Coturnix japonica: one gene and its partners. The protein of the gene in region 1 binds, or shares a complex with, the protein of each later gene. Links are inferred from orthologs where the notes say so. Each region holds a gene or a part of one and is shown in the gene's direction. Other genes may lie near its edges. The genes, in order: PIGQ, PIGH, DPM2, PIGA, PIGC and PIGP.

Evidence for each region.
Region 2: PIGQ (region 1) and PIGH share a complex: the UniProt entries of both Homo sapiens proteins name them as parts of the glycosylphosphatidylinositol-N-acetylglucosaminyltransferase (GPI-GnT) complex. The link is inferred for Coturnix japonica from reciprocal best matches to the Homo sapiens genes PIGQ and PIGH.
Region 3: PIGQ (region 1) and DPM2 share a complex: the UniProt entries of both Homo sapiens proteins name them as parts of the glycosylphosphatidylinositol-N-acetylglucosaminyltransferase (GPI-GnT) complex. The link is inferred for Coturnix japonica from reciprocal best matches to the Homo sapiens genes PIGQ and DPM2.
Region 4: PIGQ (region 1) and PIGA share a complex: the UniProt entries of both Homo sapiens proteins name them as parts of the glycosylphosphatidylinositol-N-acetylglucosaminyltransferase (GPI-GnT) complex. The link is inferred for Coturnix japonica from reciprocal best matches to the Homo sapiens genes PIGQ and PIGA.
Region 5: PIGQ (region 1) and PIGC share a complex: the UniProt entries of both Homo sapiens proteins name them as parts of the glycosylphosphatidylinositol-N-acetylglucosaminyltransferase (GPI-GnT) complex. The link is inferred for Coturnix japonica from reciprocal best matches to the Homo sapiens genes PIGQ and PIGC.
Region 6: PIGQ (region 1) and PIGP share a complex: the UniProt entries of both Homo sapiens proteins name them as parts of the glycosylphosphatidylinositol-N-acetylglucosaminyltransferase (GPI-GnT) complex. The link is inferred for Coturnix japonica from reciprocal best matches to the Homo sapiens genes PIGQ and PIGP.

Annotation. Positions count from the first base shown.
Region 1 is NC_029529.1:11,842,229-11,846,400, forward strand, and holds the start of PIGQ (phosphatidylinositol N-acetylglucosaminyltransferase subunit Q), read left to right. Parts: upstream 1-1,372; 5' UTR 1,373-1,475; intron 1,476-3,030; 5' UTR 3,031-3,056; coding exon 3,057-3,721; intron 3,722-4,172. Other genes in the region: NHLRC4 (NHL-repeat-containing protein 4), read left to right, coding at 1-320. UniProt on the Homo sapiens protein: Part of the glycosylphosphatidylinositol-N-acetylglucosaminyltransferase (GPI-GnT) complex that catalyzes the transfer of N-acetylglucosamine from UDP-N-acetylglucosamine to phosphatidylinositol and participates in the first step of GPI biosynthesis.
Region 2 is NC_029520.1:27,609,980-27,614,101, forward strand, and holds the start of PIGH (phosphatidylinositol N-acetylglucosaminyltransferase subunit H), read left to right. Parts: upstream 1-1,322; 5' UTR 1,323-1,393; coding exon 1,394-1,570; intron 1,571-2,013; coding exon 2,014-2,223; intron 2,224-3,356; coding exon 3,357-3,440; intron 3,441-4,122. Other genes in the region: ARG2 (arginase-2, mitochondrial), read right to left, coding at 351-423, 508-624. UniProt on the Homo sapiens protein: Part of the glycosylphosphatidylinositol-N-acetylglucosaminyltransferase (GPI-GnT) complex that catalyzes the transfer of N-acetylglucosamine from UDP-N-acetylglucosamine to phosphatidylinositol and participates in the first step of GPI biosynthesis.
Region 3 is NC_029532.1:3,618,070-3,621,956, forward strand, and holds DPM2 (dolichol phosphate-mannose biosynthesis regulatory protein), read left to right. Parts: upstream 1-1,394; 5' UTR 1,395-1,492; coding exon 1,493-1,495; intron 1,496-1,597; coding exon 1,598-1,687; intron 1,688-2,320; coding exon 2,321-2,423; intron 2,424-2,687; coding exon 2,688-2,746; 3' UTR 2,747-3,387; downstream 3,388-3,887. UniProt on the Homo sapiens protein: Regulates the biosynthesis of dolichol phosphate-mannose. Regulatory subunit of the dolichol-phosphate mannose (DPM) synthase complex; essential for the ER localization and stable expression of DPM1.
Region 4 is NC_029516.1:109,991,564-109,995,810, forward strand, and holds the start of PIGA (phosphatidylinositol N-acetylglucosaminyltransferase subunit A), read left to right. Parts: upstream 1-1,447; 5' UTR 1,448-1,711; coding exon 1,712-2,381; intron 2,382-2,926; coding exon 2,927-3,059; intron 3,060-4,247. UniProt on the Homo sapiens protein: Catalytic subunit of the glycosylphosphatidylinositol-N-acetylglucosaminyltransferase (GPI-GnT) complex that catalyzes the transfer of N-acetylglucosamine from UDP-N-acetylglucosamine to phosphatidylinositol and participates in the first step of GPI biosynthesis.
Region 5 is NC_029523.1:7,059,429-7,063,092, reverse strand, and holds PIGC (phosphatidylinositol N-acetylglucosaminyltransferase subunit C), read left to right. Parts: upstream 1-1,471; 5' UTR 1,472-1,799; intron 1,800-2,091; 5' UTR 2,092-2,168; coding exon 2,169-3,062; 3' UTR 3,063-3,164; downstream 3,165-3,664. UniProt on the Homo sapiens protein: Part of the glycosylphosphatidylinositol-N-acetylglucosaminyltransferase (GPI-GnT) complex that catalyzes the transfer of N-acetylglucosamine from UDP-N-acetylglucosamine to phosphatidylinositol and participates in the first step of GPI biosynthesis.
Region 6 is NC_029516.1:96,314,497-96,318,745, reverse strand, and holds the start of PIGP (phosphatidylinositol N-acetylglucosaminyltransferase subunit P), read left to right. Parts: upstream 1-1,449; 5' UTR 1,450-1,567; intron 1,568-1,774; 5' UTR 1,775-1,793; coding exon 1,794-1,875; intron 1,876-3,127; coding exon 3,128-3,200; intron 3,201-3,741; coding exon 3,742-3,860; intron 3,861-4,249. Other genes in the region: E3 ubiquitin-protein ligase TTC3, read right to left, coding at 837-922, 1,029-1,047. UniProt on the Homo sapiens protein: Part of the glycosylphosphatidylinositol-N-acetylglucosaminyltransferase (GPI-GnT) complex that catalyzes the transfer of N-acetylglucosamine from UDP-N-acetylglucosamine to phosphatidylinositol and participates in the first step of GPI biosynthesis.

The DNA of each region.
Region 1 (4,172 bases):
GTGGAGACGTCAAGGTGTTCATGAGCAGCCATCAACTCGTCTGCTCCCTCAGCAGCAAATACAGACACCAGTTTGGCAACCCAGCAGGGGTGTGTGTGGACACGGAAGGCAGCGTGGTGGTGGCAGACGAGCAGCACCGCACTGTCCATTTGTTCCCAGAGAACGGAGCTCCCATCTGCCTGGTATCCACAGGGCTGCGGAGGCCAACTGGCGTGGCCTGCTCCCCCTTTGGGCAGCTCTTTGTGGCAGACACAGGTGAGAACTGTGTGAAAGTCTTCAGGTACCACGTGAGGCCCCGACAGCCCTTGGGCACCTTCTGACAACCTTCAGAGTGGGGCCGGTCCCACCACAACCCTGCTGAGCTTTGGGTCCACTGGTGGGTCACAAATGAAGGTATTCCCGTTGTCCCTGCATTCAACCACATTGTTGGCATCCAGCTTTTCCAGAGGGCAGAAACAAGGATTACAGCAACAGTGGTTCAGCTCTACACCTCTTGGATTCACCAGAGCAGCTAAAGGACTGAGATAAGGCGGTGGGCATGGAACAGCCCCCCCATGGCAATGGGACACAGCTGTCAGACACAGGGTTTGGGTTTTGGTGGTGCTGTGTGGAGCCGGAGGTTGGTATCCATGGTCCCTGTGGGTCCCTTCCAACTCTGGCTCCATACAAATGACTTTGTGTTGGTGTATTGCAAACTTATCGCCATCCTCTCGTGTGTCTTTTCAATGAAATAATTACATCTCTTCCACACGCTCCCATTTATTGTGGCCACCCTGATGTCCAACGCAGAGCACAGCCAGAGGGGTAAGGCCAGGACAGAGCCGAGTCTGAGATCCCCTCCAGGAGACCATTAAAAGCAAGGTAACGAATTCCATGCCGCATTCCTGACCTCTGCAGGGAAGCAGCAACTACTGCACGGAGCGCGTTTCCTACGTGCACATCCCATTGCTCGCACAGCCGTGGGGCTTCGCTATCAGCAGGGCAGAGGGAAGGGTGTTTTCCTCTCCTGCTCTATCTCATGGCAGGACAGGCTGCCCCACTGCTCCAGGGCTGTTGCTGACAATTTAGGGTGCTCAGCCTGGCTGTGTCCTGCACTCTGTGCTGCAATCTATGCCCTACAGCTGCCAAAGGCGTTTATCCCTCATTGTAAGCACATCCATCCCGGTGGGTGCCCCTTCCCATCGTGCAGGGTCAGAGCACAACGGGAGGCTGCCAGGCACCACGAGGCACCGGAGCCGAGCACGGCGGCCACATGAGATAGTGAAACCGAGCGCTGGCGCTGCTTATCTCGCAGGCTCAGCAGCAGCTGCGGGTTATACCAGCCCTGTAAGGGTGGGAGGAGGGCAGCGCTGCGGGGTGAGGGGCTGGAACCAGCACCGCAACGGAACGCGGGGCGCGGAGCTGCGGGGCCGGCCGGGCTGAGCGCGGTGCGCAGGCGGAGCGTGCGGGCAGCCGGAAGCGGGCGGTGCGGAGCGGTAGGAGGAGCGGGACCGGAGCGGGGCTGGGGGTGATGGTGGGGGGGTGCGGTGCGGGTGGGGTGCGGGTACATGGCGTGTGTGCTGTGTCTGCAGGCATGGGGGCAATAACGGCAGCGGGAAGAGCTCGGGGTTCCCAGGAACGGATTTACCGGGGGCTCCTTCCCACGTCCCCTGCACGGTTAGGGTTACGGTTAGGGTTTGCTGGGAAGGGCCCCCCCCCCATCTCAGCTGTCCAGGGCCCACCCGTGGCTGTGGGCACCGAAATCATCCCTCGTTTAGTTTAAAGCCATCCCTCCCCAGCTCCTGTCGCCGTCTGCTGGTGATGTGAGCAGGATGTCCTGCTTTTCCATCTGTTTGGGTCTTTTGGTTGGGGTTTAGTGTTGCTGTTCCCCTGTTGGACTGCAGGTCCCTCGTCCTTTCTGTGCCTGCTGTGCTGCACCTTTCTGGTCTCAGGATGTCACACCTGCCAGTTTTCTACCCTTCTTTTGCTATGTTTTCCCTTTCCAAACTGAAGCCCTTTGGACAAAATACAGGTTATTTGAGGCTCTCCCACAGTGCTCACAGGCTCCACATCTCTGCAGTTATCCATGGTCATGGTGATGTCATTCCCACTGTGGGCTCCCAAAGCTGCTCTCCCCATGGGCTGGAGCCCCCAGTGCCTGCAGGTGCTGTGCTCAGCACCCTGAGCACCCTGATGGATGGGATGCACTGGGGTGAGCTGCACTGTGCTCCTCCATGAGCCATGTTTGCAGGACTGTGGGCTTGGGAGCAGCTTAACCACTTGCCTTTGCTGCTGCATCACTGCCTGCACAGTGATGCATTCCACATCCATCCCACTGCAAACTGCCCAGTGCTGAGATTTACTCCATCAGTTGTGCAGTGTTAAAAAGGGAAGAAAGAAACCAAACCACGGGGACCTGCACGTTGTGCATCCTCTGTGCATGTTATAAATACACTGCGTTCCTCTTTCCGACTGACTGGGTCCCTCGCAGAGCAGCCAGCCTGAGGGGCTGTGGAGTTTTCACATCTCTAACAAAGCACTGAAGGACAGAAAAGGACAACGGGTGCCAGATGTCGATTGTTCTGTGCGAGTGTTCTCCTTACAGCAATTAGATTTCTGTTAGAAACCTGCACCTTATTTAAAGGGATGTTGTCAGCAGCCCTGAAGCTCCTTTTAATAAAAGTCTTAATGAAGCCATTGAGATATTTTCTTAATGACATCAAGGAAAGTACTTCAGATACAGTGCACTGATAAAGCAGAGATGCCTCTCCTGCTTTGGCATCTTGCATCTAAGATTGTATTGTATTGTATTGAAGCTACTTGGTAAACTTGAATCAGTCAGTTGTTGCAGCCTGCTTGCAGCAAACAGTCTTGTCTTTGTTTCTAGTTGATAGGAGGGGATGAGCTTTGTGGTTGTGGCTGTTGGGTGTGTTTGTTACTGAGCTCAGCTCCGGGTGACAAAGGAGACCTCCTTGCTGCTGACTTTGGCCAGCTCACGTTTTCCTTGCATTGAATCACCATCCCAGGTTTTGTTTCTGTCTCTGCTGGCAGGTGTCCCGTTACCAAGGATTGCTGGCATGGTCCTTAAGGTCTTCTTTCCTTCGTGCTGCTCCTCGGCAGAAAGCGGCATTTTGATCGGCCGCTGGATCCCAGAGCAGAGCTCTGCTGTCATCCTCGCCGTGGTCCATTTCCCCTTTATTCCTGTTCAGGTGAAGCAGTATCTCAGGGAAGTCCAGCAGGTGACTGAGGTCGGCATTTCTGTGCTCGGCTCGTGGAACAACAGCAAACAGGAGAAAGAAGAGAGTTTGAGTGAGTTCTTGGAGGACCTTGGGACGATATTCTCTCATGAGCCGTGGATTCAGATAAGCAAAGAGGGAGACAGCAAATTCTGGAACTGTTCTACCCTTCAGAAACAGTCAGACAACCACAGAGAAGAAGAAATCATCTTAGTGTATTATGACCAGCGGAAAGTCATGCTTTCCCATCTGCACCCCCCTTTGGACACGGCTGACCTTGGGGCAGAGGATGCCTCCAAGCTCGCTGCCATCTTTAACACAGTTGCAAGCAGCAAGGTGCTCTTCATGACAGACAGATACGATGATGGGCCCATTAAGATGACCCACTGGCAGTCAGATGGCGTTGAAGCAAGTATCATTGTGGAGCTGATGAAGCAGGCCTCGGTGCCTGCCTGCATGCTGCTGACATTCCTGCTTTCACTTGTCTCTGGGGTCTGCAACAGCAGGTGAGTGCTGCAGCTGTGGCCTGCTTGCATTTGGTGGGGAGATGTGATTTGTGCTTCATGAGGTTCCTGCTAAAACTCTTGTTTCTATCAGTACCAGCCACGTTGCATCTCCTGGTACTGCTTCCAGTTTCACGTACCTTGGAGACAGCCAAGAGGCTGATACTTTTCTGATCTCTGAGATCACTGGTGTGCAAAAGGATGGGCTCCTGGTGACAGGTGATGTGAGCTGCAGCACAGCTCCTCTCTAACCATAGCTGGTTCTGGATCAGTCTGATGGATGTTGGGTTCTGTGGGCAACAGCAGGCTGAGAATCTCCCGGATAAACCTGCTGTTGGAAGCAGGCTGTTGCAGAGCTGCTCTGAAAGCATGGGGAGCAATGCTGAAAGCACAAGGCAGAAACCCTTGGACACGTGGAGGTGTGGGTTGGTTGATTTCCTGGGGAGGCACTGAG
Region 2 (4,122 bases), on another chromosome or scaffold:
AGGGCATCCCTTGGCTGCATACGCGGAACGCTCCCTACGCGGCCTGATGCTCCTCTGGCTTTTGGGAGCAGCGCACGCCCGCTGCCGAGCGGATGCGGCCCCCGGGAGCCGGGAAGACACGCGGGCTGCGGCAGCGAGCCCTTTGTTTCGGGCATCCCACGAGGTAGCGCCGCTGTTCGGCACGGGAGATGGGCGGCCGGCACGGCGCGGCGCGGCAGCCCCTCACGCAGCCTCCCCCGGCCCCGGCGCAGCACAACGCGCGGCTGAGTCACGCTCCCCCCGATGTGCGCGGGGAAGGGGGAGCCCCGATGGGGGTGGGACGAGTCGGATCGCGGCCCGCGGTGTCTCACCGAGCCCGGCCAGCCGCTCCACCAGCCCCGCGGCGCGGAGAGTAGCGGGGCCGTGGTCCACTCCGCGCCGTTTCTGTCAGACAGAGAAAAAGGGACGCGTTAGCGAGAGCCGCCCGGCTCCAGGCTACAGCCCCCCCCGGCCCGGCCCGGCGCCCACCTGCCCCCTGGAGAGCGGGGCGCCCACCAGCGCCACCGAGTGCGCCCGCCGGGACAGCTGCAGTCCCGCATCCGCCCGCTTGCGGAGGAGCCGCACGAAGCCGCCGCGCAGAGCCATGGTGCAGAAGATGCTCAAACAGCCGATGGTGCCCGATGGTGCCCGATGATGCCGATGGTGCCCAGTGATGCCCACCGCGGTCGCCCCGCTCCTTTTAGCCGGCTCCAGCTCCGCGCGCACCGCCGGGCCCCGCCCCGCCCGCACACCCCCGGGCCGTTGGGCCAATGGCGGCGTGCGTGGCCGGAGGTGTGTCCCGCCCACGGAGCCGCGCGGGGCCCTTAGCGAGACCCGGCCGTGCCGCTGCCGCTGGGGTTTTTCCACTGCCGGGCGGGGTGCGATGCGAGGGGGGACGGCGGGCAGCGCGACGGCACGTCGGCATGTCGGCTGAGGAGCCGTGCTCTGTTAGCAACGCTTCTCCTTGTAAAAAAGCTCAGCCCCAGTCTCTAATATTAGCGCCCCATTTTCAGCCTATACAGGCCTTTTCTTTTCACTGTTTGTACCCCCAGCCATTCGGCCCCCGTTGCCGCCGCTCTTTTGTTCACACGAGGCATCCACGCGGGGATTCTGAAGCTGCCATGAATGCAGGCAGCTGCCCACAGAAAGTTGGTACCGGAGGGGGCAGAGGGGTAAGCGGGGAGCAAAACAGCGGCCCTGCTCCGCCATGGTAAGAGGCGCATACGAGAACAACGCAACCACAGCCCTTAAAGCCACGGCTCCAGCACGGCCCCGCTGACTACCGCAGCTCCGCTCCCCACGCGCACGCGCCGCCCGCCCCTTCCCTTCCGTTCCCTTCCTTCCGTTCGTTGCTGTGTGCACGGGGCGCAGTGCGATGGAGGAGCGGCGGTACCGCTCGGCGTCGGGGGCGCCGCTGTGGCTGCGGTGCCGGCAGCACAGCGCTTCGTGCCGGGAGCTGGCCGTGCGCTGCCCCCGCCTGCAGCTCCGCTCGCTCAGCGCCGTCACCTCCGCCGTGTGGCTGGCGGCCTACGGGCTCTTCGTGCTCTGCCAGGTACCCCCCGCCCCGCTCCGCTCGGCTCGGGCTGATGGGTGTGTGTGGTCTGGAACCCTTTGAAACATACCCCAGAAAGCAGCTGTGGGTTGAAGACCATTAGGCTTCGTTACCAGGTCTTTGGCCGTATAATATACTGTCACTGATGTATACAACTGCATTTGGATGAGATTTCTCCAGTAACTTTACAAGGAAATACAATGTTCTTGCTGGTTTCAGTTTAAAGTCGTTCTTTCAGACCATCCTATAAGGCTGATGTTTGGTGACTTAAATCCCATCACGCACGTATCAGCCAACCTTCTGAATGAATGGACTCCACCTATGTAAAATCACCTTGTAAATGTAGCCACTACGTTATGATTTACCGTTCAGCATTTACTTATATATTGGTCTAAGTTCAATTGGTTTTAAGACTAGAGCTCTGTCTTTGGTTTGTGTTACAGAATAGTATGGTGCTTTCTGCCGCCATATTCCTCACGCTGATCGGCCTCATCATCTACCTGCACTTTGTGAAGATTGACCAGGAATCCCTGCTGGTCATCGGCTCACTTGGCATCCAGGTGACTTCATCCTACGCTTCGGGGAAAGAGAGCACAACCTTCATTGAGATGAGCCAAGTGAAGGACGTGGTTATCAATGAAGCCATCCACATGGTAATCATACTGTCTTTCTTGTATACCTGCAGGCGCACTCACCACTGTGTATATTCACCTAGTGGCTTAGCAGTGCAGTTGAACACAGCAGCATAAATACAAATACATAGACTTGACTGCAGTCTGGAGCGATGGGGAAATGGCAGATGTTCTGCACCAAACTGCTTGCATGGAGGGGAGGGTGGAAAGCTGTAACTTCCATGAAAGGCTGAAGCAGGCAGCTGTGATACCTCTTTAACATGACACCCATAAATCCAGCAGTTTAATGTACCTGAGCCTGGAGTCATCTCCTGCTAAACTTATCCAAAAGAGTTGTTTTGCTGGCAGAGCACTCTGGGAAGTCTTGGAGATTTGCATAGAACTGTATAAAGTTTTCTAGCAAAAGGAAACAAAGGTTTCTCATTATATGCAAGGAGGCAGAAAAGCCTTTGCACTTACTTGTCAGTTTTATGTAAGACTTGGTGGGCTGTGCCACCATCACTGTTGAGTTCAAACAGTTACGGAGAACTGAGGTTGTACACATTGTCACTGATGTGTGTGAAATCATCATAGGTGAAAACAAATCTGTACTAAGTCCCCACAATCTTCAACGTGCTCCAACACTGTGTAACTTCTTAGAAAGGCAAAACAGGTAATTAGTAAAATGCTCTGCATCAAAAAAAAAGCATAAGAGAAAGGCGTTGTCAGCAGGAATGTTTAAATCCTGTGCTGTTGGTTTTTTCCTGTGTATTTTGTTGCTAATATGTTTAGTAATATCTTGAATGTCAGTAACTCAGGTAGATTTGGGTGAAGAATGGCTTTGTGGAAGGGATGGGTTCTCTGAAAACCCACCTGCCACCTGTTCAACTAGAAACAATAAGTTCATGGAGCAAAACCATCCTGCTATTTTTGAGGCTGAACGCAAACAGGAAAAAAGAGAAGGGGACTGATTTCAAGCTGCTTTATTCATAACCTTGTAGCAAGAATATTTACCCTCCTGAAACACAGATGTTTCTGCTGATTTATCTTAATGAAAATGTCATTGAAACACTTGTTTCAACTCACTGGGCTGAACTAATTCCTCTTCCTGTGATGACTCTGGGCACTTTGATAGTGTTTTCAGACTTCAATTATTTTGTCTGTTTGTCTTGTAGCAAAAAGTTATCTATTACCTCTGCATCCTCCTGCGGGACCCCCAGGATCCTCAGGGAGTGTCTGAGGTTGTGCCACTCTTTCAGGTGAGCATGACTGAATAGTGGGGCACTACAAGTATCTATATGTATGTCAGAGGCCTTGTCATACATTTATTTCACCACACGCAGCTGATTATGGCCACCTTTCTTTGACCGCACATTCAAGTTGGATCTTACAGCAGTGTGCTGTGAGCGGTATTCAAGTCTCACAAAGTGAAGCACCAGGGAAGTTTTGTTCATTTATCCTCCATGCAGAGAATAGTGCGCTGCATAAATGTGAACCTGACCAGCAGATTGCAGGAAGTAGAAGTTTTTGGCTCATGGAGGGTAATGAGGACTTGCACAGCTTTCTGTGTGATCTTATGCTCAGCGTAACCTTTATAATTATAGTGCTGTAGTTGATTTTTCTCTTGTTTCTCTGTGCCAAAAAGATTTCATAAAAATTTCCTTGGTTTACAATGGTAACTTCCCCTACATCCGCTGACAAAGATCACAGTACAAGCTGTGAGCAATTTGCTTAATGTATAATAACTTGTTTGTTTTATTCACACCCTGCCTATCTCATGCTCTGCTTTGCTCAGACTCTCACTAACTTGTTTTGGCTGTTCATAATCCTGTTTTGGGGATTAAATTTCTTTCTCTCTTTGTATACCTAACTCAACAATATAAGTGAGGTATTTCATCTATGTCCAAGGGATACCCAACTTGGAGGGCTGCACTTAGGATT
Region 3 (3,887 bases), on another chromosome or scaffold:
AACCTCACTCCAGGTACGCTAGAGCACCGAGGTGAAAGAAAACCCCTCCTGGAGAGGGGCTGCCTTGCCCTCCCCTCACTGCCTTACCTGGGGGCTGCAAACTCACCCCCCACCCCCCTCAGCCCTTCCCTCACCCCTCCTGTGCTTTAGCTGAATAATACCCTGGTGACTGAGCCCTGTGGACAAGGCTGGTCCCCAGGGGTGAGTTACAGCAAACACTGCCTGGTAGCAAGTGTTTGTGCTGCAAAACCACTTCCTGGATGCATTGGGGGGGGGTCCATGTAGATTTATCCCCCCCTTTTCCTCCCAATGGGCTGATGGGGGATGAGAGGAACATGGGGTAAAGCTTCGAGCTCGAGGTGTGGCTGAGCCTATTCACTTTGCCTCAACCCTAAGGATTAAATGGCAGAGCCCGTATTTTTGTGGTGGGGGGGAGGGAAGGGGAGATCCTGCTTTATTTTCGTGAGGGTTGTTGAGCCGGGTGACGTTTGGAAACTCGATTTATATCAGATTCTATAGAGAGATGGCTGATATTTTTGGAAAGGGAACGGCTCTATGCAAACATCCACCATCGTTAGAAGAGAGCAAAGTAATGGTGGTGGGCTCTGAGTTGGTCGGTTGGTTTTTACTTTGAAATCTTAATAAATCTCTTTAACTTTTTCTTTCCTTTCTTAAAGCAAAAAGGTGTTTAGAAAGAAACGCTGCTCCACTGCTGTGTGTAATGGTGATGGTGGCAGCTCGGGGCTGGCGGGCAGGGCTTGTTTTGCACCATTTCTGTCTGGTTTGGGTCTTGTTTCTTGTCAGGCCGCTGTGCCGTCATCGATCCAACAGGCCGTGTTTGTATCTTCTGTATCTGGTTCCTAACGTAGAGAAATAACAAATATATGAGGAAATCAATATCATGGCAGACGTTGTTTATTGGGTTCGGGGGAAATAAAGGTTGTTTTTTTGGTACTTCACACCGATTTTCCTGGTTTGGTTGTGGTCTTTTTGTGGTTCTAAGTATTTTATGGGGGGGGGTTGCCCTAAATATCAGCTAATTACCCCAGTTGTGAGAGCCCTGCAGCATTTTTTACCCTAAATATCGGCTAATTGCTGCAGGGCTCTCACAAATGGGGTTTTTTTGCCCTAAATATCAGCTAATTGCTGCATAGTTCTCACAAATGGGTGTTTTTTGCCCCAAATATCGGCTAATTGCTGCATGGTTCTCACAATTGGGGTATTTTTGCCCTAAATATCGACTAATTGCTGTAGGCCTCACCACTAGGCCCCGCAGCTCTTCCGAGCACCTCGGGAACTACAATTCCCATCATGCACCGGGTGACTCGTGCTTTCCCACAATGCTTTGCGCTCTTAAGCCCTTCCCACAATACTTTGCGCTCTGAGCGCTCTTCCTGTTTCGGAGAACACGTGGCCAGTGTTCTGCTCGCTGGTTGGTCGATCGCTCCCGGAAGAACGGGGAGGGCGGAAGTGCCGTGTGGTGGCCGTCGCCATGGTGAGTGAGGCTGCGGCCTACGGCCCGTCCCGTCTGTACCCGGCCCTGCCGCCCACACGGAGCCCTGACTGTCTGCAGCCCTGACTCTCTGTCCCTTTACAGGCTACAGCGACGGACCAGGCGGTCGGGTTCGGTTTGGTGGCCTTCAGCCTCGTGCTGTTCGTGTACTACACGCTGTGGATCATCGTGCTGGTGAGGGGATGGCGCTGGGTTTGGGCCCTGGGATGGTCGGGCCTGCAGGCCTCGTTTAGGAGCTGCAGGAGCTGGGTGTGCACTCGGTGCTCCACTCAATGCTCCTCTATGGAGGGAACTGGGCTCAAACCTGCTGCTGCTGGAGGACTTGGGTTCCCCCCCTTGATGTGCTCCCAGCTGTAGGGTCGGGTTCATACAGTGCAGGAGTCATTGCAATGCACTGTAGCATCCAAAGTGTCCCAGCCATGAAAGGATCCATGTGACAGAGGTTGGATGTCAGGGGGAAGTTCTGCACTAGGAGAGTGGTGAGGCCCTGGAACAGGCTGCCCAGGGAGGTTGTGGATGCCCCGTCCTTGGAGGTGTTCAAGGCCAGTTTGGACGGGGCCCTGGGCAACCTGATCTAGTAAAGGCGTATGTTTGGTGGCCCTGTCAGGCAGGGGGTTGGAACTACATGATCCTTGAGGTCCCTTCCAACCCGGGTCATTCTGTGATTCTCCACCACCTGCAGGTTCAGACACTCTTTTTTTAGCCGTCCCCTCCAGCCCCATGTTTCTGTTCTGCTTTTGAAACCCCACAGCTGCACGTGTTGGTGACTTGCTCTCATGTTGTTAATCCCCTGCTCTGTTTCTGCAGCCCTTCATTGACAGTGAGCACAGCATCCACCAATACTTCTTGCCCAGGGAGTACGCCGTTATCATCCCCGTGGTGGCTGGGCTGCTGCTGCTGCTATTTATAGGTGAGTATTATTCTGGTCGCTCTAATTAGAGGCTTCTAAATTAGGAAGAGAAAAGAGACACTTGTGCTGTATGTGGTCCCTGCAGTGGCTTAATTTGGCACAGGCGTTTGTGCGCACACACGTGTAACTTCAGCTGTTTATTCCTATGAGAATTAGAACTGTTTCTTGTGCTCTGCTGAGGTTCCATTATTCGCTGTGTGTGTTTTAATGGTGCTTTTCATTTGAAATTTTCGGGTTGAGTCTGTTCTCTCTCATTCCTGGTAGGTGTTTTTATAATGGTTGTGATGTGGAAGAGCAGAAAACCTGCCCGGAAATCAGACTGAAGGCCCAGCTGAGAGATGGAGAGAAGGCCCCCAGCCTGCAGCACCAAGCAGCCTCCTCCTCCAGAGCACTCAAAGCAGCAGCAGTGCCAAGTGGCTGCTCTTTCTCCCACATTCCTTCCTCAAAAGACACAGACTTGTGTAGTTTACAACTTACAGACTAAAGGGAAGCAAATCTGACCCGTGGGACTCACCAGGAGAGGGACCAGAGCTCCAGCTGGACAAATGTGCACCCCAGCTGAGACTACGTGCAGCAGCTTTGCTGGGCTGGGATCCAGCAGCTCTAATTGCAGAGTGTGAGTTCAGTTCTGGCCCCCAGCAGCTGCTCGGCCTCTGGATACTCTTTCCCCTCTTTGCTGCATACGGTAGTTTATTCCTTCTGGGATTTTCTTTTAAACTGGAAGAGCTAATGATGGTGCTGTGAGCTCTCGTTTCTGATGAGGGCCCTGTGAGCTGCACCCACCTCCCCTCCTACAGTCACCCCACTGAGGATGCAGCATGACCTGGGTGGCAGAGGAAGCATTTAGCTCCCTTACCAATGAATGTCAGCTGCAGTCTGGGCTCCTGCCTGCACTGGGTCAGCCCTGAGCTCCTGGTGGCTATAGTGAGCTGCATTCATCCTCAATAAAGTTCTCTGAGCTCTTTGTTCTTCCATGTCAAGTGCAGAGCTGCAGCTCCAGCCTCATTCCCCAGCCACCCCTCACCCCTGCAGGGAACACAGCCCCCCATTGTACTGAAGGACCTTGATTTCTAGGGCCAGTCCATCACCCTGTCCCAATTGCAGCTGTGCAGAGCTTTATTCCTGGAGAAATACAGGAGGGGGCAGCTCCCGCTGCCTGCCCAGGGCTGCCACAGGGCCCCAGTTGTGCATCCAGCTCCTGGTGTGGGATGAGCACAGGCTGCTATGCTGCAAAGGGCAGCGCCCCTATAAATATCCCTGTTGCTGTGATGGGAGGTGGCTGCTCCAGCTGAAGGTCACGGCTCTGAGCATGAATTCCTTCTCAGCACACAGCGCTGTGCCCCCAGCCCAGGCACATTGTGGGGTCTGCAGCCATGGAATGCAGCCCTGTGCTGTGTGTGTGTGGATCCCTGAGCTCCACTTGCTGTGCCTGTCAGTGCCATCACTGTCAAAGAGTAGGAACCA
Region 4 (4,247 bases), on another chromosome or scaffold:
GTGGAGTCACCAACCCTGGAGATGTTCAAGGAACATTTCAACATTGTGTTTCAGCCTGACCCCAAAGCAGGTTACTACCATAACTTGCCAGGGATCACATTACAGGGTGCTGCACATGAGAACCTCAAAGCGCTTTCTTCCTTGTTCTATACAACTTTGTTGTTTTGGTGTTTTTGTTTTTTTTTCTTGGATTTTATTTAAGGCAAACTTCTTATATCCAGACTCCAGTTTCTGCTGAGAATTAGGATCCCTATGGCCTCCAGCTCCCCTGGCTCTTTTCACAGCTCGATGATATCTTGAAATTCAGGTTCCCACCAGGTGTTTCACCCAGGAGGAGCATTACATGATGATGTCAGATGTACCAATACCGGCCTCACCTTGCTCAACACTGGAAAAGACTCAAACAATGAGCAATGGCTCATTCAACACACCAACACGTCAGCTGATTTTTTTTTCCCTTATTCTTTCTTGCAGTCAGCACCTCCAAACAATGGCTGTCCAAGCTTTAACCCAACCAGCACTGTGGCCTAGGTCAGCTCATGCTCTAGATATTCACATAGGAGAGATGATAGAATTGAACCTGACAAAATTCATACCAGAAATCTTTGCAAGGAGAAGCAGCTGCCAAAGAAAACATTGGGAACATACAACGAAGTCATGAACAGCTCTAGCTTGCTGTGATAACATCCAGTCTTGGCAGCCAGCAATGGACAAGCTTGAACTGGTGTCTGCTGATTCCAAAGCTCACTGGGGTAAGATCAGAAAGGCTCAGCCAAGTGATGCCAGCATCCTGCTGCCCATCTATCACAGAATCACAGAATGACCCGGGTTGGAAGGGACCTCAAGGATCACATTGTTCCAACCCCCCTGCCTGGCAGGGCCACCAAACATACACATTTACTAGATCAGGTTGCCCAGGGCCCCATCCAACCTGGTCTTGAACACCTCCAAGGACGGGGCATCCACAGCCTCCCTGGGCAGCCTGTTCCAGGGCCTAACCACTCTCCTAGTGAAGAACTTCCCCCTAACATCCAACCTAAATCTTCCCGCTTTCAACTTAAAACCATTTCCCCTAGTCCTGCTACTGTCAGCCCTTTCGAAGAGTTTACTCCCCTCCTGGGTGTAAGTTCCCTTCAGGTACTGAAAGGCTGCAATGAGGTCAGTGTACCCTAAGAATGGCTGCGGTGAGGCCTGCAGCTCAAGATCCTCCCCATCTCAATGGCTAACCTATCTGCTCCGAGACACCTCGGTGCCCTGCCTGGATAACGACTGCGTAAGCGGTTCCAGAGCGGAGTCACTGCGGGGCGGCGACTCCTCACACACAAGGTGAACAACGGAAGAAACGAAACCGCCACCTCCTCTCCCTCAGCCCTTCCCACCGACTTCGATTGGTCGTGACTCGACAGCGGGCGGCGATTGGCCGAGGCTGGGCGGCGGGGGCCGGGCGAGGCAGCCTCGCTGTTACCGCGGTGACGCGGCCGTGCCCGGATATGGGAAGGCGGCGGGCAGCGCCCAGCGAGCGGCGGCGGGCGGCAGGTACGTGCGCGGCCCCCCCTGCCAGGCGGGTGGCGGCTGCTGGAGGTGAGCGCTCTCCTGAAGGGCCCGCGGCGGCTGCGTGCCCCTCCGGCAGTGCGGCCTGTGCTTGGGACATGGCCGGGCCCAGCCACGGCGAGGGGCCCGCTGGGGTCCGGAGGGCGGCCGGGAGAGAGTGATGGCACCTCGTCGTTGCCCCTGTGGGAGGATGGGGGCAGGGAGAGCGCAGAGCGTCTGCATGGTGTCGGACTTCTTCTACCCCAATATGGGCGGCGTGGAGAGCCACATCTATCAGCTGTCGCAGTGCCTCATCGAGCGTGGCCACAAGGTACTGGTGGTCACCCACGCCTACGGCAGCCGTAAGGGCGTCCGCTACCTGACCAACGGGCTGAAGGTGTATTACCTGCCCCTCAGGGTGATGTACAACCAGTCCACAGCCACCACGCTGTTCCACAGCTTGCCTCTGCTCAGGTACATCTTTGTGCGGGAGCGTGTCACCATCGTCCATGCCCACAGCTCCTTCTCAGCCATGGCGCACGACGCGCTCTTCCATGCCAAGACCATGGGGCTGCGCACCGTGTTCACTGACCACTCGCTCTTTGGCTTTGCGGACGTCAGCTCGGTGCTCACCAACAAACTTCTGACCGTGTCCCTGTGCGATACCAACCACATCATCTGCGTCTCCTACACCAGTAAGGAGAACACGGTGCTGCGAGCGGCGTTGGACCCCCGCATCGTCTCCGTCATCCCTAATGCTGTGGATCCCACTGATTTCACCCCAGACCCATCCAGGAGGGATGACAGCACCGTAACGATTGTGGTGGTCAGCAGGCTTGTTTACAGAAAAGGTAGCAAAAAATGTCCATTGTATATATCACTCCCATTTGCGCATGTTGGATTTAGAGGTGTATTTTTTTTGTGATACTGAGATTTGTAAACTGAAATTCATAAAGTGCAAAGCTTGGCTTCTATTACTTTACTACCTTACCGCATCTGGGTATGGGGCCTGCAGCACAAGAAAGGTGTGGAGCTTTTGGATTAGGGCCGGGGAGACCATGAGGATGCTTAAAGGGCTGGAGCACCTCTCCTATGAAGAAAGGCTGAGGGAGCTGGGCTTGTTCAACCTAGAGAAGAGAAGGCTTCTGGGGCAACCTCATTGTGGCCTCTCAACGTGAGGGGAGCTTATAAACAGGAGGGAGAGCATCTTTGTACATGGGCAAATAATGATAAGACAGTGGGGAATATAGCAGCAGGCTACGTCATGATGAGTGCTGATACCAAATACAGTAATGGCTTGTTCTACATTTTGTTGCTCCTAAGTCTAGATTTTCTTGGTGGTATAACTTCTAATATCCAATACAATAACATCTTGCCTTATATTTTATGTTCTTAGGTATAGATTTGCTTAGTGGTATAATTCCTGAGCTCTGTCAGAAGTATCCAGAGTTACATTTCCTAGTCGGAGGAGAAGGACCAAAACGAATTGTACTCGAAGAAGTGCGGGAAAGATACCAGCTACATGACAGGTTTGTTCTGAGCATGTTTATAATCACTGTACTTAAGAGGTGGGAAAGACAGCAGCTCCCTGCCCCCTTCCCTCAAAAACTAGAGAAGATGAGAACTACCAAAGGCAAGGTAGAAAGACCAAGTGCTGAGAACTTCCAGAGTTGGACTGTGATCTTGCAAGTTCACCTGATGTGAACCTTGTCTTGTGTCAGAGAAAATCTGAATTTATCACACTCTTAATGTACTTGTAGTATCACTACGTGGCAAGAACTGTTAGATGGCTACTTCATGTTGATGGTATCTGTGAGAATCATTGCTAGTAATTCTGGAAGCTTCCTCTTTACCGTTGCTTTACTTTATTTTGTTTAAATAACCGTTTATAAATAATAAATAAATAAATAATAAACCGTTGCTTTACTTTATTTTTAACTTTTCTAATTTCAGTCTGAAACTCTTCAGGCCAGGACTTATTTACTATGTCTTCCTGTGGTGCTGCAGACATGTTCCTTGGATTAAATGTTACCAAATGTTTCTGTCATGTCTGTGAATATTTCTTTGTTGTTGTATATAGTTTTTTTTATACAGCAAATACCAGGTTCTTGATTTTCCAGTACCTCAGTCAGTAATTATTTCATCTGCTCCTCTCTGCTATGTAAGATACTTGTTTGTTAGTTGTGTTTTTCTTTCTTCTGGTTTCACAGTGTCTCTTCAAACTGATGGTCTTTGATCTTTGCTATTCTAAGTATATACACTTCTTTTTTTTACCTTAGACTTTGACATTGGTCACGCCTCGCACTGAAAATTCAGATAATGTATCTAAACAGAGAAAGGGAAATGAATCTTTGTTATTAATTCTGTGAAGCTGTGTTCTTGTGAAGTGCTAGAAGGATCAGACAGTAGTATTATGAAGGTGGTTGCTCATGAAACAAAAAGAGGCAACTCCTTCTCCACCAACTTTCTTTGGAATAAAAGCAAGAGGGTCTTGTATTTCTTTATTGTTGATCAAGTTTTAGAGAAAATGGAACTAAGGTGTCTGTGTTGCTTCTCTCTCTATGTGTACGCACCATTGGAACTCATTTTCCAGTATATATGTATCTTAGTTTCACCTGGGACGGAATTGCTTTCTTCAGAGTGTCTGGTATGATGTTATGTTTTGTTTCTAGGAGAAAAACAATGCTGATAAGACACCTATGTTTATAGGTGCTTCT
Region 5 (3,664 bases), on another chromosome or scaffold:
GTGGCTTCCTGGTGTGGTCCTATTTGATCCTAAGGGATGCTCACAGGTTGTTACCCTGAGATGGAGCAGTGAGCCATCCCCTCACTCTGAACACAAACCTGTCCCCGCAGTTACATTTGCCCCCAAGCAGCCCCCCACGCCTGCATGATTTTGTACTGTTTCTGCTTTGCAGGGAAGAAATGACCCTCATCTGGGTGTGCGGCCACACTGAGGGTGGTGGGAAGCTCTCCTGGGCAGATGGGGAGGGGACTGCAACTGGTGATGTTTGGCAGGGACTGCGTGACCCTGTGTGGGAGAGTGACTGCTTTCATCTCTGGCCAGCCGGCCCTCATCTACAGCCTTGATGCTTGGCATAGGTAGACTGTGGCACGGTCCCAGAGCTCCTAAAGTCCTGATGCACTTGTGCTTGGGCAGAGGTAATTCTAGGGTGTCCAGAGGGGCCTCCACATGCTTCTGCATCCCAGCATAGGGATAGACCTATCATGGAGACCTGTTTTCCTCCCTGTGTGCTACAGATGTGCCACGTACAGTGTGGGCTGAGCTGAAGTAACCTGGGCAGCTGACTCTTGGCTTCCTCACACCAGGCGCTGCCCAGCTCACAGCTGGCAGGGCACAGCTTTGGCATCATTCTTGGAGGCAATTTCCTAGGGACTGCAAAAGAAAAAAAAAAAATCATAAAGAAAAGCTAATGAAAAAGCAAAAGCTTTCCCACCACCATCACTGCACAGACATCTACAGAACAGGAACCAGTTGTCCCTTGCCCTCAAGCTGACTGAGAATCCCAGCAGTTCCACCTTGTTCTTCTCTCATCATGGCTGCCAGGGGAGTTTGGCAACCCAGGAGCTCTGAATCCTTTGGTATTCAAACACCTCCAGCAGAGGCCTAGATCAGTCACAGCTATTTAAATCCCAGCCTGTCACCTTTTCCAGCATGGCTTCCAAACAGCTTTTAGCAGCATATTGCAGCGCAGGAGCCCTGCAGGAAATAAACACGTCTGCAGTGGGGTCAGTTGTGCAACACACTGGCGAGCAGTGAGCTCTGAGTGGGTCTGAAATGCAGGTGGGGTGGGTGGGGAAGCAGTCAGGTCCCCCAGAGCTGAGGTTATGGCAACAAGTGCTTCACAGTGCTGACTGTGGGGCAGGATGGGTAGCATGGGTAGCAGCACCCAGTGTTTCACTGTATGAGGGCTGGGCCAGTCTGGGGTCCACATCCCACCCCTGCAGCTGGTGAGGGAGATCTTGTTGCATGGGATGAAGACACACACGAAGCAGTTCTCATCCTTGACCTCAGGCACCACTCGGGTGTGACGGACCGTCCCTCTCCCAGCTGCTCTGCTGTCCCTGCCAAGGCCACGTCACCTCGGGTGGGCTGAGGGGTGACTGCACAGCACGTGTTCCCTCGACTGGCAGGGACAGGCGGTGACGTGGCCGGTCCCATAGTCACAGGTCTGCTGTGCAGGTGATTCATTCCCCGCAGAGCCTAGGAGACCTGGAGGGCTGAGCTGCCCTTTAGACCTCGGGCAGAGAGTTGTCCAGCGGGGCACGAATGCACCATGGCAGCAATAGGTGCCGCATCTCCCCATTGCCGAGGCGCTGCGGTCACTCACAGCAGTCCCAGGGGCAGGCGCCCCATCGTGCTGTGATGCAGCTGCAGGCAGCAGTGGGCGGTGAGCCGAGAGGAACGCGAGCAGGAAGCAGCGTCAGTGCACGATGGGTGGCAGGGGGAGCCCATCGCTCCCGGCTCACCCCGAAGAGTTAACTACATGTTGTCGGCTCGGAAGCGACCTTATTCCCCAACAAGTACGAGACCGATTACAGTCACCTGCCCGCACACCGCCACTCCCGGCCCTTCTCCTACCGGCTCCGGCCCCGGAGGCAGCGACACCCGCGGGCAGCGCCGCGCTGTGCGGCCGGGCAGCTCCGCCAGGGGGCGGCTCCGAGAGCCCCGGCGTCCATTGCGCCGCGCCGGGCCCGGCGGAAGCGGCGGGAGCGGGGAGCGGGGCGGCGGGTTGGGAGCGGGGAGGGGGGGGTGCGCCCCGTCCTCGCGGCTGGAGCTCACATCGCGGTTAACCCGCACCTCGCTCTTTCCCAGGGCCCTGAGAGCAGCCCCAGGCTGTGAGCGGAGGAGCGGGGCGCTGTGCCGGCCTCCTCTGGGCCGGCCCTGGGAGGATGGTCTGTGCGCAGGTAGAGACGAGCCCGAGGCGGTGCTGGCAGAAGGTGCTGTACGAGCGGCAGCCCTTCCCCGATAACTACGTGGACCAGCGGTTCCTGGAAGAGCTGCGGAAGAACATCCACGCCCGGCAGTACCAGTACTGGAATGTGGTCTTCGAGTCGGGGGTGGTGGTGCAGCAGCTCTGCAGCGTGTGCGTCTTCGTTGTGACCTGGTGGTACATGGACGCCGGGGTGCTGAGCCCGCAGGGGCTGTTTGGGGCGGCCCTGCTCACTTCTCTGCTTGGCTACATCCTCTTTGATGCCATCGACGCCGGGGTCGGGCGGCAGGAGAGCGGGCGGACGCGGTGGGCAGACCTGAAAAGCACGCTGGTGTTCACTGCCTTCACCTACGGCTTCTCACCGGTGCTGAAGACGCTGACAGAGTCCATCAGCACAGACACCATCTATGCCATGTCAGCCTTCATGCTCCTCGGCCACCTCATATTCTTCAACTACGGTGCCAACGCCGCCATCGTGTCCAGCACGCTGTCCCTCAACATGGCCATCTTTGCCTCGGTGTGCCTGGCCTCCCGCCTGCCTCGCTCCCTCCACACCTTCGTCATGGTCACCTTCGCCATGCAGATCTTCGCCCTCTGGCCCATGCTGCAGAAGAAGCTGAAGGCCCAGACACCGTACTGCTACGTGGGGGTGACGGTGCTGTTCGCACTGCTGGCCCTTGTGGGGCTGGCGAGCGTCTCCAGCGTGGGTGCTGTGCTCTTTGCCTCACTGCTGCTCTCCATCTCCTGCCTCTGCCCTTATTGCCTCATCCGGCTCCAGCTGCTCAAGGACAACATCCACGGGCCGTGGGATGAGGCTGAAATCAAGGAGGACCTGTCCAGGTTCCTCATGTAGGCCTGGCCAGGGGGAAGCAGTGCCCTCTGCTGTGAGGGGCCTCTTTGGGACACAGCTCCAAGGGGACACCTAATCCAATAAAGACTCGCGCTCTAGCAGGGAGTGCATCTGTGTGTGTTGTGACTGCGCTGGGCTGTGGGTGAGCAGGGAGGTGCTGGCAGACCCATGGCAGTATTTTTGTCCAGCCACCGAACCAGAGGCACAAAGCAAAGTCTCTCTGCTTTCCTGTGGTGGCCGCCCAGCCGCAGGGTGCTGCAGCTGTAATGGGAGCCATGCTGGTCCTTCCTGGAACAGTCCAGTGTCTGATTCCATGCACCCCACAACAGAGGGTCCTCTAAGCCAAAAAGTCAAACTGGAGGGCATCTCCAGATGAGCCAGCCCTGCTGTGCTGTTGTTTTCCAGAGGCAAGTGGTTCAGCAGAGCATGAACTTGGCCAAAGTTGCAGCACCCCAGGCTTTTTGGTCTCACCAGAGCCTTCCTGGTGCTGGGCAGGAGGCCGGAATTCAGGGGCACTCACAGACCTGAGTACACTCACACATATCTTGCATGCACAGCCACACTGCCATGTCCATCCGCATACAGCAGCATCTCTGCAGACTGTG
Region 6 (4,249 bases), on another chromosome or scaffold:
CCAGTAGTGCTGCCTGGCGTTCTCATGGTTGAAGTGCAGGACCCAGCATTTGGTTTTGTTGAACCTCATCATCCCATTGGCTTCAGCCCAGCTACCCAGCCTGTCCAGATCCCTCCAAAGGGCCTCGCTACCCCCAGGCAGATCAACACTTACAGCCAACTTGGTGTCATCTGCAAACTTACTGAGGGAGCACTCAGTGCCCTCATCCAGGTCATCAATGAAGATACTGAAGGTATAGCATAGAACATACATTCCTTTAAAGAGTGTTTAGAATATTAACACAACTGTTGAAGTATTGTATTCTGCGCATAGCATAGAAAATATCTTCAGTGATATAAACAAATTGAATGCGACACACTACTACTAATGGTCCCTAGTACAGGTCATAGAATCATAGAATATCATGAGTCAGATCCACAAAAAGATCACTGAATCCAAGCCCAGGCTCCACAGAGTACCACCCAAAACTCAAACCCTATGGCTGAGAGTTTGTCCAGATGCTCCACAAACTCCCTCAGACTTGGTGCCATGTCCTGGTGAGCTTGTTCCAGGGCCCTACCACCTTTTCCTAAGCCCCAAACCTGATACAGCTTTACAAATCAGAAAGTCACTTTATCTGTACTGAGGGCAGTGAGGCGCTGGCACAGCTGCCCATAGAAGCTGTGGTGCCCCATCCCTGGAGGTGCTCAAGGCCAGGTTGGATGGGGCCCTGGGCAGCCTGAGCTGGTGGGGGGCAGCCCTGCCCATGGCTGGGGTTGGGCTGGGTGGGCTGTGAGATCCAACCTAAGCCACTCTATGATTTTATGAAATCCCAATGGAATTCCAAACCCACTCACCAATTCACAGCAGGACTTATAACCAGCACTGACAGCCAAGGCCGCAAACTCAGAGTCAGACAAAGGTTCACCCATGATTCGAGATCCTGAAAGATAACGATGAAAAGAAATACAGTGAGGAGGGAGCCCAGAGGCAAACAACCCATATTTAAGAGGACTCATCCAGATCCCTACAAGAGTTTCACTGAAGACCTGTGTTATTTCTACCCATCACATCCTTCAGCCTCCGAGCCCCTCGTCCCGCCCTGCCCGGCAGCTCCTCTGACAGCCGCCACCCGGAAGCCCCGCGGCTCCTACTGACGTGTCGCAGAGCGGCCCCACAGCGCCGGTCCCACCCCAGGCATCATCCAGCCGGGGGCTGCGGGGAGATGGCGATCGCCCTTCCCTCCTGCTGCAAGGAAAGAGGCACAGGAGGGAGGCAGGGATGGAAGGGTCGCACCCGACGCTTTAAGCACTCACCAGCCCTCAGAAAAGACCGACCGAGCACCCACCCGCCCTGAGCTCAGCGCTGAAGCTCACTGAACCGCACAACCTCGGGCTGTTGCGAGTCTGCGAGCGAAAGCTGCCTATCTGTGACTGCGCATGAGCGGAGGAGACCCATAGACTCGCGATATCCAGGGTGAAGAGAGAGGCTGGTGTTGTTCCTCCTGTACCTTCCGGGTCGGGAGGGTAGAGGACTGTATGGCCGCGGTCAGTCAGGCTGTATAGGGCCGTCACCTGTAGCCAGCCTGGTGCGTGTGTGATGGCGGCGTTGTCCTCTTCACAGTGGCTGTCCTTATGGCAGCGGTGCTTGGGGTAGTGGCTGTCCTTATGGCAGCGGTGCTTGGGGTAGCCGCCTGGTAGCCGGGCTGCCAGATCTCCTGTCCCTTGCTCGTAACACAGCTCTGAGAGAGCCTTCTGACCTCTTCTTACCGTTGTTTGTTTCTTCCCTGAGTTAGAGGGAAGGAGCAGTGAATAATGGTGGAGAACTCTCCAGCCCCGCTGCCTGAAAGGGCAATATATGGATTTGCTCTGTTTTTGGGATCTTGGTTTGGCTTTAGTAAGTATGCTGGCTACTGAAATCTGTTACTTTGCTTATAGGGTAAATGTAATTCTAACTAAACCATCTCGGAAGGGTGATTTTAGTGTTGAACTGCCCGGTGTAAGGAGGTGCAGTGGAGGAGTCAGCATTACTTCCCAAACCTGTGGGCTGATTCATTACCTTCTGTGATTCTAATGTGTTTTGTCTTTCTTTTACAATATGCTGTCTTTTGTAGTAACATGGATAAAACCTAATTTAAAACTCTCTGCAGTCTAGTTTTAGTAAATCTTATATCTGAATTGTGTATATTGCCACTGCTTAGTAACCATTGTGGAGAGGAGTGGTGTATGGTAGAATGCTACAGAGATGGTGACAGATATTCAAAAGGCTATTTATGAGGAAAAACTCACCAATATACCTTCACTGGGAAATGCTGAGGCAACATCCAAGAGATGCTGCCTTAGTGGTGGTCAGCCCTTAAATGAGGTCTAGAGGAGGTGGAGTCAAGCTCCATCCCTTCCAGGAGCACAGATAAATTACTCTCACCTGTGTTCCTACAGCTGACCCAACACTTGCCTCAGCTGATTAATCAGTGGTTCAGGCTGTGAGTACCAAATTCCCATACAAGTGGGTATCATAGGCTTACTTGAGTTGGAAGGAGCCCTTAAAGGTTGTCGAATCCAACCCCTGCAGTGAGCATGGACACCCACGGCTTCATCAGGTGCTCAGAGCCCCCATACAGCCTGACCTTGAGTGTCTGCAGGGATGGGGTGTCCACCACCTCCCTGGGAAACCTGTGCCAGTGCTTCACCACCCTTTTTGTAACAAACTTCTTTCTTATATCCAATCTAAATCTCCCCTCTTTTAGTTTGAAACCATTTCCCGTTGTCCCATCACAACAGACCCTAAAGAATCTGTCCCCTTCTTTTTTACAGATCCCCTTCAGAGACTGAAAGGCCACTCTTAAGTCTCCCCAGAGCCTTCTCCAGGCTGAACAGCTCCAGTTCTCAGGCTGTCTTTGTAGGGGAGTCAGGAAGTATTTCCAGAGTACAGAAGTGTTATTGTATAAGTGGATGTTATCCTCATGCTAGACAAGATTTTTCTGAGGTGTATTCTACCATATTTTAGTAGAGCTATTTTTGTTTAAATTCTGCTAAAACCAAGTAGTTTCAGTATGTCCAAGTATGAGAGTATTGCTCTAAGAACTTAAGAAGGAAGTCTAAAATGGTATTGTTTGAACTGCTGTGATTCTTTTTATTCTTCTGTGCAGTGCTGTATCTTATCTGGGCGTACATCCCTGAGACTTGGCTCTTCTCATTGGGACTGACATACTGGCCTCAAAAGTAAGCTCAAACTTAATTTCTTAAGATCAGCCTCAAACTGTTAATCCTGGATATGTGTAATGATTTCCAGATAAGAAATTGGGAAACTGTTCCTAAAATATGTCTGTTTTTTTCTGATTCTAAAGGAATGTAATGTTTGTCAAACATTATTTTATGTGGATAAGCATTTAAGATAAACATTTCTCATTGTGTCTTGGGAGGGATGGTGGTATTTTGATGTTTTATGATAAATTTGAATTTTTCCTTTCAGAGAGTTTGTCAAATAACATAAAGTAGCCTTTAAACTATAAATATAAAAAATAGAAACTAACTGTAAATGAATCTACTTGATGGTTTATGCCAAAGTAGTTACACTGGTTTTTGCAGTCAGGTATCTTCCTGGGGGAAACCATGATCCATACGTAGTAGTGTTGTTTCTTTGCCCATAGGTAAAGCTAGTATTAGATAAAATATTAGATAAAATAGCCACTACATTAAAACTGTTACATCATTAGACATTTGTTACTAGAAAATATATGAACTTTAAAATCTTTTTCCTCAGGTACTGGGCAGTTGCTTTGCCAGCGTATTTATTAGTTGCTGTAGGAATTGGTTATGTATTACTTTTTGGTATTAACATGATGAGTACAGCTCCACTTAACTCCACGCATACTATTACAGGTAATTTTTTTTTTTTTTGTGGGGTATTTCTTGTTTTTTTTCTAAGATTTTTATATTTAACTGATAATTTCTGTAAATACACATATGTAGACATAATATAAATCAAATTTTAAGCTTTCAAATATTTTAACATAGAAAAGAAGTTCTTGGGAAATACTTGAGGACCAGAGTGAAAAGATCCTAAAAGCTGACTTCTGCTTCTTTGTTACCTTATGGCAGTTATTTCCAACTGCTAAAGTGTACCATATTAGCAGAGCAGACAACCTTAGAGAAACAAGTCTTAGGTATGTATCCAGGGATGTGTACATCCCTCTCATATCGTCCTCTCATTTAGTGCCAACCCAAGAGTTTGTATGGCAGGTGGGATGTTGGTCTTGCTCTGTTTGGAA